4 linked regions of the Ovis aries genome follow. The protein of the gene in region 2 purifies or fractionates together with the protein of the main gene of each other region. This does not show direct contact. Links are inferred from orthologs where the notes say so. Each region holds a gene or a part of one and is shown on either strand. Other genes may lie near its edges.

Evidence for each region. The genes of interacting proteins can lie anywhere in the genome.
Region 1: the proteins of DERL2 (region 2) and SELENOS purify together in Homo sapiens (affinity purification with western blotting; 3 studies listed by BioGRID and IntAct, with this or other methods). This does not show direct contact. The link is inferred for Ovis aries from reciprocal best matches to the Homo sapiens genes DERL2 and SELENOS.
Region 3: the proteins of DERL2 (region 2) and SERPINA1 purify together in Homo sapiens (affinity purification with western blotting; 3 studies listed by BioGRID). This does not show direct contact. The link is inferred for Ovis aries from reciprocal best matches to the Homo sapiens genes DERL2 and SERPINA1.
Region 4: the proteins of DERL2 (region 2) and AMFR purify together in Homo sapiens (affinity purification with western blotting; 4 studies listed by BioGRID and IntAct, with this or other methods). This does not show direct contact. The link is inferred for Ovis aries from reciprocal best matches to the Homo sapiens genes DERL2 and AMFR.

The regions. Positions count from the first base shown.
Region 1 is NC_056071.1:4,626,832-4,631,130, reverse strand, and holds the end of SELENOS (selenoprotein S), read right to left. Parts: intron 3,569-4,299; coding exon 3,479-3,568; intron 3,382-3,478; coding exon 3,300-3,381; intron 1,504-3,299; coding exon 1,424-1,503; 3' UTR 874-1,423; downstream 1-873. UniProt on the Homo sapiens protein: Involved in the degradation process of misfolded endoplasmic reticulum (ER) luminal proteins. Participates in the transfer of misfolded proteins from the ER to the cytosol, where they are destroyed by the proteasome in a ubiquitin-dependent manner.
Region 2 is NC_056064.1:25,955,831-25,961,245, reverse strand, and holds the start of DERL2 (derlin-2), read right to left. Parts: upstream 3,247-5,415; 5' UTR 3,220-3,246; coding exon 3,127-3,219; intron 2,264-3,126; coding exon 2,198-2,263; intron 292-2,197; coding exon 218-291; intron 1-217.
Region 3 is NC_056071.1:56,840,269-56,845,012, forward strand, and holds part of SERPINA1 (alpha-1-antiproteinase), read right to left. Parts: intron 2,561-4,744; 5' UTR 2,557-2,560; coding exon 1,917-2,556; intron 1,052-1,916; coding exon 781-1,051; intron 1-780.
Region 4 is NC_056067.1:23,723,281-23,728,024, forward strand, and holds part of AMFR (E3 ubiquitin-protein ligase AMFR), read left to right. Parts: intron 1-1,438; coding exon 1,439-1,603; intron 1,604-2,900; coding exon 2,901-3,053; intron 3,054-4,744. UniProt on the Homo sapiens protein: E3 ubiquitin-protein ligase that mediates the polyubiquitination of lysine and cysteine residues on target proteins, such as CD3D, CYP3A4, CFTR, INSIG1, SOAT2/ACAT2 and APOB for proteasomal degradation.

The DNA of each region.
Region 1 (4,299 bases), on a different chromosome or scaffold from region 2:
ACTAATTAGTTTCCTTCCCTCTTCTATTATCTGCCGATCAGTTAGTCACATGGCACCACCCCTCCACCACCAGTCATACTGCCAGATACAAGGTGGGTACACACAACTCAGCATTTCTTCCTATGTGTTTACACCTGATAATTCCTTAATTTATGGGGGAAAAAAAGGAGGTTTGAGGGAAAAGTCACAGCTAATAGTATACTGAAACATGCCTTCTATTCCTAAAATGAATAGTTAATAGCTGCTTAACTATGTATGTTCAACTACAGAAAATATTTTAAAGGAAGAACTCTTAAAAGTTCGTTTATATCCTACAGGGAATCAATCTCTCTGGACGTAAATAACAGACCTAGATGAAATATTTTAACCCAAGTCTAAAACTTTCCATTATTCTTTCTCATGATCTTGACATGAAGCAGGGATCAGCAAACTACAGGCGGCAGGACAAATCTAGCCCGTAAGCTAAATATTTTTAAATGTATTTAAAAATTCTTTAAAAATTTTAAAAATATAGACTGTGCCTAAAGCCTAAAATCTTTACTACCTGGCCCTTTATAACATACTTCACAGAGATTCTCGATAAGGACATAAGAAATGAGTGCGAGACTCACAGGGCTTCCCAAAACCCCAATAACCCCTGAGGTACTTACACGCAAGATGTTTCTTTGCCCTATTAATGCAGAAACTCAACTCCAAGTACCTGGTTTTGCGGATAAACCCCCAGGAGCCCTCAAGCTCTGAAAACCACTGCAGCTGTCCCACTTTTCACGCTCACTGAGGTGAGCAATAATGAGACGAGAAAGCAAATCTTATTAATGGGAGGTTATGAATGATAAAAAGCTGTATTATGTTAGACAGACAAATTCAAGTGCATAAAGAAATTTCCTTAAATTTAATAAAGATACTGAAAATGTTCTCTGCATTTTTTTTTTAAATATTTACAGTCTCTTTTTTTCTAAAACAGTTCTGTACATATAAATTTACAGAACAACCCCGTCAACTGTCTGCATCAGTAATCCTTGCTGGTGGGCTCACCATTTACAAGGAAGACATCATTCAACACAAGCTGTCACAGAAACTGTCCTACCAGCCAGGAGCTCTTAACTTGAAGGATCATTGCCAGGTCTCTTTTATCAAGATCACCAATCATCTGCAAGCCCTTAGCTACCAACTAACAAAGACCTGTAAAATCAATGAACAGTCACTGGCTTCAGTGCAGTGTGACTAACTGCAATTACTGCCTAGTGGCCATGTCCACACCCTATGCTGCCTTCAATCCTTGAAGTCATCAGTGTAGTTAAGAACAGAAAGAAAGCCCCTCCCCCTGGCTAATGACTGTGAAAAGCGTGCGTAAGACAATTGAGTTGAGGGTTAAGGATTCATCTTGCTAATGTCAAAAGTGACACTAACAAGATTCCTAGCCTCATCCACCAGATGAGGGTCCTCTGCGTCCAGGTCTCCAGGAGCAGGTTCCACCACCTTCACCAGACAAAGGATTGTAACCTGTGACGAGAGAAAGGAAGCAAAACAGTGCTAGAAGCATTTTGCATCAAACAGAGGACTGTAAGCCTGATATGCAAATCACTGCAAAGATATGATCCTACTCTCATAACATTTTCAGAAAACTTTAAGCTACCACGTGACAAAAAAAACTTTACAGTGTGACTGCATTCTATTGCATTGTATATACTGATCTTACTTTCTATAATGTGATCGCAGTCTGAACTGACTTGAATAAAACAAGCCATTCAGCTTCTGTTGTAACTATCAAAACATGAAAATCCCCTCCAAATACACAAAAAAATTGCCCCCAAAGCCTCTCAAGATGGCTAAATTTAAGTATATAAAGGTTTCTAACTGTAGTCCTTAATAAAATGAATACATTCAAGTAAGAACTGCTCAAGCTACAGAAAATAAATTATAAAAATCAAAACAGAATGGAACTTGCTGTTGCTTTCACCAGTCAGAACTGGGAAATCCACATGCCCCAGCCCCCACACTCATCCCTGCCCACTCATTAACTTACTAAAGTTAACAGACATTAGGCGACCATTCTGCTCAGGCTCTAGACTTAGCAAGACCTTAAATGAGGTGGTTTTGTTCCTTACTGTAGAATCTTTGGTCACCAACTCCCTGTGCCTCAGTTTCTTTAAGGCCTATAAAGACAGGCCATTCCAAGCCCCCAAGCTCTGGATTACTGGCAATGCTAGAGGCATGCACACAGCACACCATACATTCCATTTTCTACAATCGTCTCCTGAATACTACCACTCTTTGCTCTGCAAAATGGTCTTAGAAGATTATTTCTTGCTGGAGCAAGAAAAAGACTTAAAAAAGCATTTTCTTTTCAGACATACCACTCCCCTATACAAGCCAGCTCTGAGTTCCTAACACAAAGGAAGGGATTAGAACCCAGCCTTTAAGGGCAGCCCACAGGCTTCACAGACTCCCCTCAGTCCTCTAAGAGGTTGGCCAGGCTTCCACACCTCTGCCTCTGTGGCACCTACCCAGAGCAAACCCCTCTTCCCAGATAGAAGAAAGTATCTTCAGCCTAGAACTGGTTCCTTCCCAAAGCATTCTAATGCTTTTGCCCTCCCCTCTCTCCAGATGGAGGAGGAACTCCTGGCAGATCATAAAGGATTACTTATTTTCAACTGTGTGGGGGTCCCATCTTCCCAAAAGTACATGAAAGTCCTCAAGGATGGGATGGTACACACTGCTATGGTACCACCTAGAGTGCTTCAGGGTACTGCACACAAAAGGTCTCTTAATGAGTATCTATCTGTTCATGCCTCCTTGAGGGAGTTATTTGTAAGAAACAAGGCAGCTCTGGCTGGAAAGGCCAAAACTTGCGTCCTAGGCCCCTTGACCCACTTATATGCAAAACAGGCAAACTACTCCTTGCCTCACTTAACTTACCCCTTACAGGACTGGGATGAAGTGAAAAACACTAAAATACAACTGCAACCATCCCAATTATTTCCTGAGCGCCTCGAGTGACCTCCTTTTCTTTGCTCATCAAATGCTAACTTTTGTGAGGCCAAGGAGGTCAGTGGCCTCCTGGAAACAGGACATGCACCCACGCCCTTGCTGGAGGCCCAGGGGCAACAGTAGGGTTCAGTAGGTTGGTCATTTCTAGCTGCTGAAGGCTGTTTTATATCTGTTTCTTTTATTGAATCTTCATAACCTATACTTAGGAATTAGTCTCTGTTTACAGACTATGAATCAAGAAAAGAGAATCCTGTTTCAGGTAAATTTAGCCAGTCATTGTTCAGAATGCTTTAATGTTTGACACTTACCTCCTCCTCGCAAAGGCTTTCTGTCAGATTTTCGTTTCGGGATGACTGATGAAGTAGAAGGCCCAGGACTGTCTTCTTCCTGCTTGAACATATACAGGCTTAAGAATCTAGTTAAGACATTCTACTCCAGGAATCTTCACCTACTTGAAAAAAGTCCACTAGGTTGAAGGCTACATCACCTGAGGCTTTCTTGTATTTCCTTTATAACTTTTTCCTTCTTGCATGCTATCCCACATTTCAATCTTCTGTCTCCTTTTTTCTTCTTCAAGCTGAGGAAGAATCACACATGATACAAAATGAATTTATAAGCTGTCATCTTTCTCAAAGAAAATGCGCTTTTGATAATCTGTAATTTAAATGTTCTTCAAACTTTCACCTGCACTTTCTTCAGTTAATAAAGTAGCTGTTATCTAGTGGTGTGTGAGTTTAATTCAGATACAGAATCCTTCGCTTTTCCATACTATTAAAGAAAGCAGAAAGTGTCACAGAAGAAAGGATACCGATTCTTCTTTTAAACTAGGCATTTCTGGTCATGTTGAAGAACCCTGACTTGAAAAGGGTCAGTGTGTCTGGCAGGCATGCTTTGCTGCTATTTGGTTGTGTCACCTGAGGAAAGTCACTTAACCCTTCAACTTGGAAGGCTGTGAGGAGCCAATGAGAACAAATTTGAGAATTCTCTGAAAGTAAGGTACTATGGGAGTATAAGAGAAAACTAATCTCAGTAGGAAACCATGTCCAACAGTGAGCACCTGGGAAAGCTTGAGCAGTGAACAGGAGGGAAACACAGCACCCGAGGTCTTCATCTCTGCTTCCCACTCCTTGAACAACAAATGGGTACTGCAACGCACGTGCGCACAAAGGTCACTAACTCTCTCAGTTCCTGAGGCAATCCAAACCCAAGCTTCAATTCACTCTGGTTCCAATTAAACTGCGACGCCACAAAGATATGCAAGAGGATGCCTTAGAAAGCACATATCCAGAAATTTCTCAATGGTTCAGG
Region 2 (5,415 bases):
AACATTTTATAATATCTCCCATTTGAATAAACAATGACCTACAAACACCCTCAAAACATTACTAACTGACCAACTATTCTGTGTATCACTGAGCCAATAGCCAGAAGTTACAGCTGAGATGGTAGCAAAAACAGCAGAGTTAATAGTTTCAAACTTAATACTGTATTTCCTAAGTAAAACTAAAGTTTCTATGCTAACCCCACTTAGTAAAGGATACAGAAAAATCATGTTAAATAAAAAATTGAATCCAACTGGCCCAAAAAACAAGAAATTGGTGATTAGCCTCCATATCTGTTAAAAAAAAAAAAAAAATCAAGAGAAAGACAGATTAAGTAAAACATACCAGGAAACATTTTCATATTAAGACAAGAGATAGCCTATGACTACAATGGTTGAAAGGCCACAAATAGGTGATTCTATTTTCTAAACTCAAAAGTGAGACACACAATCTGACACTGAATTTTTGTGCGGCTTCAGTGAGAGTCTGAAAGATATCACTTGCCCCTGGAAAGTTCTAAGCCTGACAGGACAGAAAACTTGCAATTGTGATTGTATTAAAAAAAAACAACACAAAAATCCATACCATATGGTCAGGCAAATGATGGGAAAAGTGTGATGGCAAGACTAAGTTAATCTGCAGACTAGGAAACAGAGCTTTAATATATGTAGTATCACAATCTAATGAACAATCTCAAGATACCAAAGGAAATTACAGGATCTAACAGCAATTGTTTCTATATTAGCCATCAGAAACATCCAGAATAAAGAGTAATTCTAAAGCAAATACTCGAACAGATATTCTGTTCGAATAGCCTGAACAGACAGCCAACTCACTACAAATAAAGATCTAATACTGTAATAATTAGTTTAACTGGTAGATATGCACTTATTTTCAAACCCTGATATACTCTTCCCCACCCAAATCATCCACGCCTGCAATAAGAACAACTACTCACAATGATAGAACATTTAACATTTTAAAGTGTTTTAAAATATTATTATCTCATGTGATTTTAATTATCCTGTGAGATGAGGAGGCTGACCAATACCATCCCCATTTCACACATGATGTAACTAAGAGACTTGGATGATTTTTAAATGGCCTGCCTAATATCACACAGCTTGCAAAGGGAGGCTCTGAACTCAAACCTAGAACTCCTAATTTCACACATGGTGTGAAGAGTTTAACCTCAGGCAAAATCAAGCCTTGTTTGTTTGGATCGAGCTAAAGCTCCCAGTGAAGGCCTTGTGAGTGCAGAAGGAAGAAGGCAGTGATAAGGGTTCACGGGACTCCTTTACGATCATTAAATTCTTAAGAATTGCTAACTATTAAAGTTGAAACAACTCAGAATTGTTTACTGCATACTAATTGCATCCAGGATTGTAGAGTCCTCAACCTTGTGAGACAGGCATATAAACAAGTGCAAGTATGAGATGAGAGATATAAAAAAAAGTATTTACAGATACTCTAGGGACACAAAGGAGGATGAATCCGAGAAGGCTACACAAAAACTGCATACTGAAAGACAAGCTGGAGCTCAACGGGTACAAAGTGAATGAAACACCTCTGTGACAGAGGAACAGCAGGTGTAGAAACAGACTTTTGAGCCTAGAACAAAAAAAACCCATCCCTCTTTAGCATTCTAATTACTGGAAAGGACTGTCTCTCACTGTAATCTAATAAACTGGCGTTTTCTTAGATGTCAGTCTTTGAGAGGATGATGTGATCCCTGGGAGATGGGTTAGAGCACTTATTGAGTTTCTGAACTGGATCACAGGGATAACACCAAGGTGGTGACTGTGCCACATGGTGCTGGATGGACTACATATGGACATCCTCTCTGACTCTCCCTGGACAACTAGCGGATCCAGTCTCCTCTCAATCTATACTACTAAATCTGAACCAGTGATTCCTAAATATAGGAACTGGACGCATCAAATCAAAACCATACAGGCAACTTTGTAACATAGCCTTGGTGATTCTGATTTGGTATATGCTGAGGATCTTGAGAATCTCTTTAAAAGTTCCAGGCTGCAGAATCATTGCTTTGTACTCCCCCACTGCCCCCCAACACTTATAATCAAATATTCCCACTGAGTTATTTGAGATAGTATATAGCAGGATTAGCTACTTAAAAGTAAGAAAAACAAGTTTAAAAACTGCAACATTAAATGGCAGTTGTGATGGGCCACTTACTTGAAAGTGTTTAAAGATTAATTCAGGATTGAAGTACAACTGAAAAGGTGTGATCAGTTCCAACTGCTGAAATAGAAAAACAACTTCTTCAAGCAAGTCAATCAAGAAACAAAATATCATCATTTACTACAAAAGACTGGCAGTTCTCGCAAATTTCCCACTCTCAGTGACTTAGACTGAATTATTTAAGGTTTACTTCTTAAGCTGGAGGAAGGTTGGTAAAGAGTTCTCTAGAACTGGCACAATTCTTTGCGTTCCCCAATACCTAACACAAAATAAAAGTCTGTTGTTTCAATAGCTGAGGCTGATGTGAAGGTATGGCAGGCAGGTGGTAATGTCTTAAATTCAGGGCAAGTAAGACCAGCTGCTAGGATTATGCCCAATACATGGGCATCACCTAAAACAACTGTGCGAAGCAACAGAATTCACTCGAACCAAGACTCAACACCCTGCCACTGTGAGGGCTGAGTACTTCCAGCCAACCTCTGTAAGTCTCTTTATTTCAAGACTTTTCCCGCTCAACAACTTCCATCTTTCTATCTTCAACGTCTACGTTTCTCCACTAAGCGGACCTTCCTCCCAGTAGTCACAAAGGATCATTCTGTGGCTCTGAGAACACCATCAGAGTTCTCTGACACGTTTCCTGGGTGGGCGGCTCCCGCAGCCCTGACTTGGTACAGGTCCTGCCTTTATGTCTCAGAAACTGACCCGCAGTCCTGATCCTCCACCCCTTATGGAACAGCACCTCTTTTTCTGGATCACTGGATAGTACTTACGGGGCGATACTGAACCCCAGAGTGAGCCCTGTACGCCTCCACCCACCCTTGAGACCAACCACTCTGAGCTTCCCCAAGGCCCAAACCCCAGTTTCCCGAGGACCCGGGCATATCCAGTACAACTCATGAGAAGCTGGCGCTGCAGCTGCTCACCACAGCGGCGGTGGTGAGGACGCAGGCGGTGGTATAGGCACGGCTGACCGGTGGGATCTGCAGGTACTCCAGCCGGAGGCTCTGGTACGCCATCTTCCCCACCGCCGCCGGCCCCCCCCCACCCCCCACTTCCCCTTCCGCCAGTCCATCCCAGCGGCGGGGCGGGATCAGGGCGGAACCAGAGCGGGGCCCTCCCCGTTACGCTGCTATCCAATCAGCGCTGATCAACCGTCCAGCCACCAACCGCTAGAGCCCGAAGAAAAGCACATCCGCCAATCACGAGTTGCGTTTCCGCGGCGGCCCAGCCTAACTTCTCCACCCACCAACGTCTTGGGGAAGGGAGTGAATACCGATTCCTTCTGCCAATCCCCGCCGGCCACAGCTAGCTTTCCCGCCCGGCTCCTTTCCGTCACCAATCTAGGTGGCCCCCTCCCCAGACAGTCGGCCAATTAGGAGCGCGGGGGCATCCTGCCCTTGCTGTCGTTCGCTAAAGCAGAGAGCGGTCAGAATCTGGGGGAGTCAACCGCGCCGCCTATCTCTGGCAGCCTGCGGTGGTTTAAAGAGGTGGCGGGAAGCTGGTGTTTGGTCGAATTCATCACTCTTATAGTCGCTTGGGTAAGTATCCACGGGGCTGCATTTTCTCTGAAGAAAAGCGGGAACAGGTGGCACTCGGTGGGGCGCCATCCCGGGCGCTAGAGCGGCCTGATGGAGCAGCGTCTCCAGCGGGCCGCGAACCTCCACCCTGAAGGTCCCGGCATGCAGCGGGGGCGCGGGGCCTGTCGGGAGCCACTTCTCAAGCCGGAAGTAGTTCCTGCCCGGAGGTTTCTGGAGCTTCGGCTCCTCAACTCGCTGAGGTGACCGGTGTACTTCCCGCGTATCACCTGCAATATCGGTTGAAGCCTTACTCATCCTGCCCTCAGGAAATCTAAGGCTTGCAGAGAAGATAGGCTTGTGATAATAGTAACCTAAAGCAGGACTTGGGGTCGCAAAGAGTAGGTCACGACTGAGCGACTTGAACTGAACTGAAAGCAGAACTTGATCAGTTCCCGAAGAGAGGCCCTGTTGGTTTAACGTGGATTTTTTAGTTTGGAGGCTTGTTTAGGATTGGGTAGAGCTCATGAAAAGCAGTCCAGTATTGGTAGAAACTGCTGAAGCAAGAATTTCAGAGAATCTTGCTGTAACAAATTGTTGGCGAGATTCCCTGGACTAGGAAATGGCAACACACTCCAGTATTCTTGCCTGGAAAATTCCATGGACAGAGGCTCCTGGCGGCCTGCAGTCTATGGGATCTAAAGAGTCAGACACGGGGAGAGCACGCATGCCACGCATCCCATTAAAGAGTTCATCAGTCTTTGGCTGGGGGTTTCATAATGAACAACCATTTGGACAATAAAAATAATATTCTGGTCAAGAATAGTAGAGTCATGCTAATGGAAACAGTAAGTTGTTGGGTGGGGCAAGGAGGCTCTTTGGTAGTTTCAGTCCTCAGTGTTCAACCTGTGTGTGTGTATGGGTGGGGCAGGGAGGAGGGGGGGAGGGGGTTAGATGTTTTTGGTTTTCAAGAAACAACGCTGTAAAACCATTTCACCAGATTGGCAAAAATTAGAAGCATTAATTACTTCACATGCTTATGTAAGGCATCTGGTTCCATCACTTCATGGGAAATAGATGGGGAGCAGTGGAAACAGTGTCAGACTTTATTTTGGGGGGGCTCTAAAATCACCGCAGATGGTGATTGCAGCCATGAAATTAAGAGACACTTACTCCTTGGAAGGAAAGTTATGACCAACCTAGAGAGCATATTCAAAAGCAGAGACATTACTTTGCCAACAAAGGTCTGTCTAGTCAAGGCTATGGTTTTTCCTGTGGTCATGTATGGATGTGAGAGTTGGACTGTGAAGAAAGCTGAGCACCGAAGAATTGATGCTTTTGAACTGTGGTGTTGAAGACTGTTGAGAGTCCCTTGGACTGCAAGGAGATCCAACCAGTTCATCTGAAGGAGACCAGTCTTGGGTGTTCATTGGAAGGACTGATGCTGAGGCTGAAACTCCAATACTTTGGCCACCTCATGCGAAGATGCTGGGAGGGATTGGGGACAGGAGGAGAAGGGGACAGCCGAGGATGAGATGGCTGGATGGCATCACCGACTCGATTCACATGAGTTTGGGTGAACTCGAGGAGTTGGTGATGGACAGGGAGGCCTGGTGTGCTGTGATTCATGGGGTCGCAAAGAGTCAGAGATGACTGAGCGACTGAACTGAACTAAACTGAAGGTACTTAAAAAGGAGG
Region 3 (4,744 bases), on a different chromosome or scaffold from region 2:
GAAGGCCTCCCGGAGGATCTGGGGTGTCCTCTGGAAGGACGGTACTCACTACTTCCCTGTAGGGTTTGGTCGTGCCCCCTAGACTGGGACTCGTCCAGGGCCAGTATCCCAGGGGACTGTGGGGTGTGGTGGCAGGTCCTGAGTGACATCTTTTGAGAGCGTGAGGAGTACTTCTCTGTATTTTCATCTTTGTTTTATGTTATACATGATAAAATTGCTCATCTGGGCCTGGGCATATTTGCAAACACAGAGACAGGTACTGATGCGGAGTGCATGATGGGGACCTGGTCGAACCACACTCGTCTAATGACAGAGGAATCAGAACCAGCCTCAAACAGGTCCTGGAGTTTCCTGCTCTGGGCGTTGGCTTTTTCAGCCTCTCCAAGCATTTCTCCCCCCTCCCCTACCCTCATCCTGCCGTGGACTTTTTAGCCGGTAATTCACACTCTATCCTGTAATCTACATTCAACTGCCCCCTTTGCCAGGAAGCCCATCCTCTTCTTTCTGGGTTTGCCAATAACATGTGTTGACATTGCTTTCCCGTGCACCAGGAAGGGGCAGTGTCCAGGCTGGGGAGGAAGTCCTCAAGGACAGGACTTTCCGTCCTCACCCCTGGGCACCAGCCCTCTCCTGAAGTCTGCCTGGTACCGCGTGCATGCATTCTGGCCTCTGTTGGAAGCAGACACACGGCGGTCATGGCTGTGGTCGGTGGGTCTATCCCCCCACCCTCTGACCGGACCAGATGTGGCAGCTCCCGGGTCGGTCTGCTTGGGAGGTCACCTTGCATATTTCTTTTCCAGGAACTTGGCGAGGAGTTCGTTGTTGAGCTTGTCTTCCAGCTGCTGCAGTTTCCCGAGGTCGGGCAGGATGAAGCAGGCGGTGACGTTGCCCACGTAGTCCAGCAGCAGCACCCAGCTGGCGAGCTTGTCACAGTAGTGGAGGTCAAACATGCCCAGGCGGTTCATCATGGGCACCTTCACGGTGGTTTGCTCATTCACGTGGAAGTCCCTCTCCGTGGTGTGCTCGACCTCGAAGGGCTTCTCCCATTTTCCTGGAGAGAAGAGATAGCGGACGTCAGCCAAGGGTGGGAGGAGGTTTAGTATCAGTGGGAGAATAAAGGAGCCTTGAGCCTCCTGGTGAGGTACTTCTCTCTGAGCCTCAGATTTGCGTGTGTGCTCGTGTCCGACTCTTTGCGACCCCATGAACTGTAGCCCACCAGGCTCTTCTGTCGATGGGATTCCCCAGGCAAGAATACTAGAGGGCTTTGCCATTTCCTTCTTCAGGGGAGCTTCCTGAGCCAGGGATCAAACCCACATCTCCTGTGCTCCTGTGCTCCTGCATTGGAAGGTGGATTCTTTACCCCTGAGCCACCTGGGAAGCCCCAAACCTCAGTTTTACCATCTGTAAAATGGGTCTAAAGTGAAACAGCAGTCTACAGAAAAGACTTCGGGGGAGAATAATGCAAGGCTGGTATAGGATCCAGAATTTCAATTTCGTGGAGGCTCATGTGGTAGAGGAAGCATCTGAATCTTGGTCTTCCTGACTCCAAAGGTGTCACTACTTCCTCTGCGCTGCAGTTGTCAGAAGTGTGGTTCGGGGTTTGTTTTTCTGACTCTATTTTGGGAGGCACTGCATATCATACACCTCTCTCTGGTGGGAATTTGCAGTGCATGTTAGGTCATTTAGGGCTCTGAAAAGTCCTGCAGAGATGAAGGTACTTTGTTTAATTCATAATTCCCTAACCCTATTTGATCATAGGAAGTTTTAGTGGTCATGTGTGGAAAACTGAATAACACATGCAGAGATGCATGGCTATATCCCATTCTGTGCTGCCAGGAAAGTTAAGAACTGAGTGTTTGAGACTATTTTGAGGGTGATTCTGTGCAGAAAAGCTCAGACTGGTTATGCAACCTTACCTTTAAAGGATATGTAATTCACCAGAGCAAAAACTGTGTCTTGGTCAAGATCCTTTACCAAATCCACAATTTTTCCATGGCTTCCCTTCTCTACATAATCATTGATCTTCTTCTTGGCCTCCTCAGCATCCCTGAAGTTGATGGAGAAGGCTTTGGAGTGATATAGATTCTTGACATCCTCCAAAAACGTATCAACTAGCTTTGCACTCTCATTGATGAACAGACCATTGCCGGTGGTCAGTTGCAGCTGGTGGTTTGGCTGGTTGAGGGTGTGGAGAAGATGCTGAAAGCCTTTGTGGATCTCAGCCTCTGCTAGCTCAGTGAGGTTGAAACCCAGGCCCTCCAGGATCTCAGTGTGAGTGTTGCCCTTGGCTCCCAGGGAAAGCATCGCAAAGGCTGAAGCGATGCTCACTGGGGAGAAGAAGATGTTGCTGGTATTGGACTGATGGGCCAACTTGTGGTATATGCTGAAGGCAAAGTTGGCCAGGTTGGGGGCAATCTTGTGGCAGGCTGCTTCCTGGTGGGATGTATCATCTGTCTCTTGGACAGCGTGTCCTTGGAGAACCCCAGCCAGGGAGGTGGGGGCCAGGCAGCACAGGGCTGCCAGCAGCAGAAGGCCCCGTGTGATGGAGAGTGCCATTATCCTGCAAGAGAGAGAAGGGTACCATGCCTGGGTCAGACCATACAGTGAGTCCCTTGGCCACTGACAGATGCCAGGTCAAAGCAACCAGTTTATCAAGGATCTATATGCCAAACACTCTTCTATGTCGGCATCACTGAAAGACTCAGAACAATGGGAGGGATTTGATGGCACTTATTGCACGCCAAATTCCATCCTAAACTCTTTACTGTCTTATCTCACCCTGTTCCGGTAACAGTCCTCTGACCTAGGTCATGTGACACCCCTGGGCTTACAGATGAGACCAGGCTCCTAGAGGTTAAGTCACTTGTCCAGGGTTCCAGGACAGATAAGTAAGAGAATCAGAATCACACTCCCAGGTCGTCTGGGTCTAGAGTCCACGTTCTCGATGGCTCTGTTAATATCCACAATGTGTAAGTGCTAATATCCCAAGGTGTAAGTGCTGCTGGCCTTATTTTGGGAAGAGGAAACTGAGGGACAGGAAGTGGATAATGACCCAGGAGGTTGGCTGAATCGGACTCAGGGATGATTGGATCTGGAACAGCCCTAGGAGGACTTCCACTAAAATCTGTTACCTAATGGATAGAGAGGTGACACCCCAGAGTGGGAGGGATCTTGCTTCAATGACACACAGCAGGAACACAGAAGAGCCGTGAGGAAACCCAGCTGGGGCAGGGGGCTGTACCCCAACACTCACAATGAACCTCAGCCCCTGGTAGATGTTCCTGAGCTGGAGGGCTGCCCTCACAGTGAGTCTGTGGCCTCAGTCACAGGACTGTGCTGACGGTCAGCTTACACACCCTGCTTGCCTCCTCTGTCCCAGCTCTGTGCTCAGCATGCTGTGGGTGTTGAAGGTCCTGGCTCCTCCAGCCAAGTGGAATTTGTCTTTGTGTGTGTCGGGAGGTGGGGGCGGTGGTGGGGGTGGGTGGGTAAGAGTTGGAAAAGCATCTTTTCCTTCTCAGACAGACCTGGCTTCTAATCTAGGTCTCTGTCACCACCTGCTGTGTGGCCTTGGATGAGTTGCTTAGTTTCTCTGGTCTTCACTTTGTCGCAGGTAGAAAGTCAGATTTGGGGGATCTTTGAAAGTAAGATCTTCACCAAGTCTAGCCTCCACACCTTACATTGAAAGCACCTGAGAGAGCAGATGGCCTTGAAGGAGAGGCTGGTAGATGGGCAAGCAGAAGCCCTCAGAGGATCACTGGGAGGAAGATGAGCTCCATGGCTGGTCGGGGGAGACAACAGGGAATGGCAAGGCCTGTGGCTGGCCCAGCAAGGTCAGACTCCATCTAGCGATCATCAAAGTCAATGTCTCCTGCAGCAACACAGGACCACCTCTGCTCCACAGAGCTCCCTCCACTCCACACAGACCCCTGCCTTGGGCCACCAGGCCGAGGTCTCCTAAGTACCACCTGCTCTCTTCCCAGATAAAGGAACTGAGGTCTAAGCAGAGGACAGGGTGTGCCTGCAGCCACAGAGCTGGCTATTGATATTAGTCACATAACTAAAACCATCATTTTAATAAAATACAAAGACAAAGGAGCTCTTGAACTTGGCATATGAAAACCCGAGGTTAAAAAGTTGTGAACAAAGAATGCTGGGTTTTACTTACCTCCTTGGACTTAAAGTTTCTTTCCAATAAACAACAAGATGAAGCACAAAACTGGTTTCTTTCCATTACCTTTTTTTTTCCCCCCCCCTGGACTTCAGGCCTCTAAATAACCCAAATAGAGGAGACCGCAGATTATGTAATACCTGTTTATATTTTTCGTAAACTAGCCAGTGGTTTTAGAGCTGAAGATGGTGCTGAGATTAATTCTGTATATTTCCATCACCCTTGGGTTTCTCGCTACCTCCCCACTGGATTTTGGTGTGGTCCTTCGTGGTTGATGGAAATTCCCCATCTTGGCGAGGCTCAGAGATGATGAGGGATTTGAACTCTGCACGATGGGGACACTATATACACCAATTGGCCTCAGAGTCAGAGGCTGAGGCTTCCCGTCGGCACAGGGCTACCTCTGTCCACTTGGTCTTGGGTAAGTATTTACTTGTTTTGGGGCCTCACTCTGCCCAGCTGTATAAACTGAGGTTAAGGGAGACCTAAATGAGGTCCCTGTGTACCAATGCTGGAATTTTAGTTAGAGGGATATCTGGGTTTGGTGGAACAAGATGGACTGAAGCGTCCCATGGG
Region 4 (4,744 bases), on a different chromosome or scaffold from region 2:
ATACCTAAAATGGGACAAATATTAAACTGTTAAGTGGTGGTGTAGAACAAGGATTTTTTTTTTTAAATGCACTTAATGCCTACTGTGGCATTTGTCTAAGCACAATATATGTATTAACTTACTTAGTTTCCCCAACTATTCTATGAGATATGTGCTATTGTTATAAGACCTGTCTTATAGATGGGAAACCAAAGCATGGGGATGGTAACCAAAGCCACACAGGAAATAGATGGTGGAACAAAGGTTCAGAACCAGGGCACAGAATGTTCTAGCTTCACCTCATGCTTCCTGCCCCAGATCTAGAAACAGACATTCACTAAGGATTCCTAGTTCATTTTATTCTCTGAACAAAGGGTGTCTAGGCACAGTACAGTGTTTTAAAGTTCTCAAAATAACTCTTATCTTTAAATAGTCTTGTTATCAATGTGTTCCACATGTGGGTTCAATTATTTCTGTTTTTTTTTAAATTTTGCTTTTCTTTCTGTTTAAAATTTTGAATTGGTGAAACATTTACACAGTTTAAAAACTTTATATAAAAGTACCTTAGGAGCTGTGTTTCCATCCTCCTCCACACTTGGGTTCCACCACCACAGTTGATGGTGCTTTTTAATATCTGTTGGGTTGATGCTCCTCGTTGCCCTTCTTTTTTTTTTCAGGATGGTAAATATTTTTAAAACTGCATATTCTTAGTGTAAGAAAGAGTACAATAAAGCAGATATACTTATGTGGGCATGTACACTTATAATTAGAAACTATAATAACACCCATAACCTTTGATTGCTGAATAAATAGAATCTTGTACAAAGATATTCATTGCAATATTTTTTGAATGGTGAAAAAACATTTCAGTGACCATCTGTAACCACTAAAGTGGTCTATTCAGACAGTGTTCATTGGCATCAATCAGTGTTTTACATTTAGGAAGAAAATGGCATGAAAATGTTAAGGCATCATTTTTGTTTTACCTTTTCTTTGTACTTTTGCATACATTATTGATTATGGCTGGAAAATTAGCATATGTTATTTTTGAATCTGAAGGATGTTTAAAAAAAAGAATGTCTACTCTTTTGTTTTAAGAATTCAGAGAGCAGAAGTAGTAAAAATGATACTTGTAGCTATCACCATTCTTTTTTATTCTGTGTTTTATTCTGTTATATAACATATTATTAATATTATACTAAACTAATATTATTCCACTCTTAATGTCTAAAATTTCATAACTGACTGAGGAATTCAATCCAGAATCTATAGATTACTTCCTAGATGTCTTACTTTTGTTCTTCACAGGACTCATTTCTTTCTTTGCCTTTGGTTTTGTCATGGACAAGTGTTTTTAAACAGAGAATAGAATATTCTCTCCTCCTTAAAAGCCAGCTTATCATCTCTAGAACGGGTTAGGTGTAATGGTACTCACCTTTGCGAATATTTTTCTTTTTAGCACCTCAAAGACAAGTTTTGGAATTTTATTTTCTACAAGTTCATTTTCATTTTCGGGGTGCTGAATGTCCAAACAGTGGAAGAAGTGGTCATGTGGTGCCTCTGGTTTGCTGGACTGGTATTTCTGCACCTGATGGTTCAGCTCTGCAAGGACCGGTTTGAATATGTGAGTTTTTACCCAAGCTCTTCTTTTCCTGCTTAGGCATACACATGGCAGGTCTGAGTGGTGTCATACGAATGAGCCGTGACACACGGAAGGCTCCTGGCTCAGGCACCTCCTTCCTGTTTCTTGAGGAACTTTCTGCAGCACCCAAGGCATGCAGGGACAATGTCCCCTCAGGAGGCTTTCTCCCCTCCCCAGTAGTGTTACATGACAGCCCATGTGGGGTCAGTTCATCTAACACAAACTGTTTTGATCACAGTGAAAGGGAAGCTTAAACTGGAAAAATAGCTGATCTCTTCCAGATGCTTTCTAATCTCCTTCCGTTTTTTCCCTTCTTACTCTGGCCCTTGGGGCTCCTCTTTCTGACTAGTGTATGTTGTTTCCACCCCCGGGCCAGCGCTGAGGTAGCTCCCTTTGCTCCCTTGGTCCCTGGAGAAGTGAATCCTTTTCTATCGGGATATAAGTTCTGCTTTTTGGCTACAGAGTTGTGCAGGAGAATCTTCATTCCTGAGTGCTCCCGAACTAATCTCATAGATCCAGAGCAGATGGGCACCTGCCATCCTACTGCTCTGTGAAACCCACCCCACGGTGCTCTTTGCCCCTTTCTTTATGCAGTCTTCATGGACCATGGTGGTCCTTGCACCTTTTTGTGGGTTGATCTCAGTTCCACAGCCTTGAGCTGTTTTCGGAATTCAGCTCCCATCCCGGGCCATGAACAGGTACTGCTTGTCTCCCCAGCTGGTTTGGTATCTACAGTCTCCTGCTCAGGAGTCACAGCTCCAGACCTCCCTTCTCCAAGCTGTTGCCTCTGCTTGTGTACCATTAACATAGCACAATGATAGTGGTCCATCTTCACCTGGAGTACACATCAGTTGTCCCAGCTGTGAACAGGCTAGGAATGTCCCCCCAGCTGACCTTGAGGGGTTAGGATTAGAGCAAGATTGAGAAAGAGCACGACAGAACACGGTGTTGCCCAGAGTCCTGTTGAAGCCAGAGGGAGAATGACAGAACTCTGGCAAGTTGCTTCTAGAGGCTTGTAACCCCACCAGTAGGAGGATTCTTGAGAATTTGAGATGAAAATATCATGGATATTATGATCCCTAAATTAAGCGGTGAAGATCTCAAGGTACCAGCGCATACTCATATTGAGGTTGGCTGGAGAATTCTGACCATCTGGTAATGGGATACTTTTCTGTGCAGACTTCCCAACAAAGACACCAAGATTAACCTCAAATTTCTCGGTCAGGTCTAACCCTGCCATGCTGAAGACGAGCTTCTTTCTTCTGTTTTGTCCTTCCAGCTTTCTTTTTCTCCCACCACCCCCATGAGCAGCCACGGCCGAGTTCTGTCCCTCCTGATCGCCATGCTGCTTTCCTGCTGTGGATTAGCAGTCGTCTGTTGCGTCACGGGCTACACCCATGGGATGCACACGTTGGCTTTCATGGCTGCAGAGGTAAGATACAGACATAGGCTTTTGCTCTGGTGTGTTCCCGTGTACTTCCAAGGAAGCTAGAGGGTGGTTGACAGATTATTTTTCACCTGTGATGGATAGCTGGTCTTTCATTTTAACAAACATTTTTGGAGTTCCTTTGTTTTAGATTGGGTTCTGGTACTGAATGCTTCTATGTGTGTTATTTCATGTAATCCTTGCTACAGCCTAATGAAAAGTACAGTTGACCCTTGAACAACATGTGAACTGTGTGGGTCCACTTACATGTGGATATTTTTCAGGAGGAAGTACTACCCGGTCCCTGGGTGGTTGAATCCACAGATGCAGAGGAATTGGATATGGAGGGCTGACGATAAATTAGGCACTCCTCTGTTGCCCAAGGGTCAGCTGTAATTATTTTTGCCAGCAGTCATACATAGTGCTTACTCTACACTGGGGATTGTTGTAAATACCTTACATGCCTGTTTATGAATGGAAAAATGGCATGGAAGCTAAACTGCTAAAAGTTCCTAAGTGGTAAAATTAGCATAATCCAAGGTCTATGGCTTCAAAGTGGGAAAGGTTTTCTCCTTAAGAAGCAGTGCTTGGTAACAATAGGGAAATACCCTGTAATTGGTTTGGAGTAGGAAGTGGCAACTCACTCCAGTAATCCCACCTGGGAAATCCTATGGACAGAGGAGCCTGACCTGCTACAGTCCAGGGGGTTGCAAAGAGTTGGACTTAGCTTAGTGCCTTAACTACCACCTGTAATTGGTTAGTTTAGATAGGCCATAAATTAAGGTTTTACAAAATAATACAATAAATATGGAAACTGTATTAATTATTTTCAGAGAATAATCTGAGATACACATGTATATTGAAAATGTACTTTTAAAAACCTTTCTGAAAATACCAATTTCTGTTCAATGGAAATCAGATTTTTTGTATGTTCTTTCTTTTCAGTGGCTATATTTGCTTTTTTTTTCAGGCCAAAGGAAAAACACTCTTATCTTGTCCATAATTGCTGTTAATGAAAGAGTGAAATAATAGATATCTAGTATCACTATTAATAGATGGCTAATATCAAAACTGTAAGTTTAAACTGCTAATTGGGAATTTGTTAGAATAGGATTAAAATTTATTTTGCTTAATAGTGTTCATTTTGGAGTATAATGTAGTGTAAGTACATTGTTTTCCTTCTTTGTTTCTTGAGCTTTTAATTACTACTAGGCCAAACTTTAAAAAAGCTATACCTAAAAATAAAGATACTTAAAATAGATCTATTGGGTCATAGTACATATTTTTATTTTAGCTCATTAAGTTCTTAAGATAAAATACCATCTTATAGATTTGATATTTTGAACTAAATCATGTTTTTATAGTGTTTTTCTTCTGTGCAAAATATTTTCTATTTGTAAATGAAAGTTTTCTAATCTCTAAGAATGTTTATGTTTAATTCTAGATTAAGAGGAAACTTTTCTTAGCATCAGTTTCTATAATGCAAAATACCATGAAGGTCTTATTTTGTTATTGATTTCATGCATTCGGTTTTCTTCTGTGTCAATGAACAGGGTGCAGAAAGCATTATGCAGCAGGCAGGGACTCGTAGATGTCTAGGATAGCAGGGTCTAAACCTCACCTTGGGTAAATGGTCACCAGGCATTCAGACAGCCTCTTCAGGTTATCAGTTACGATGATTCAGTGCTGTACAAAAT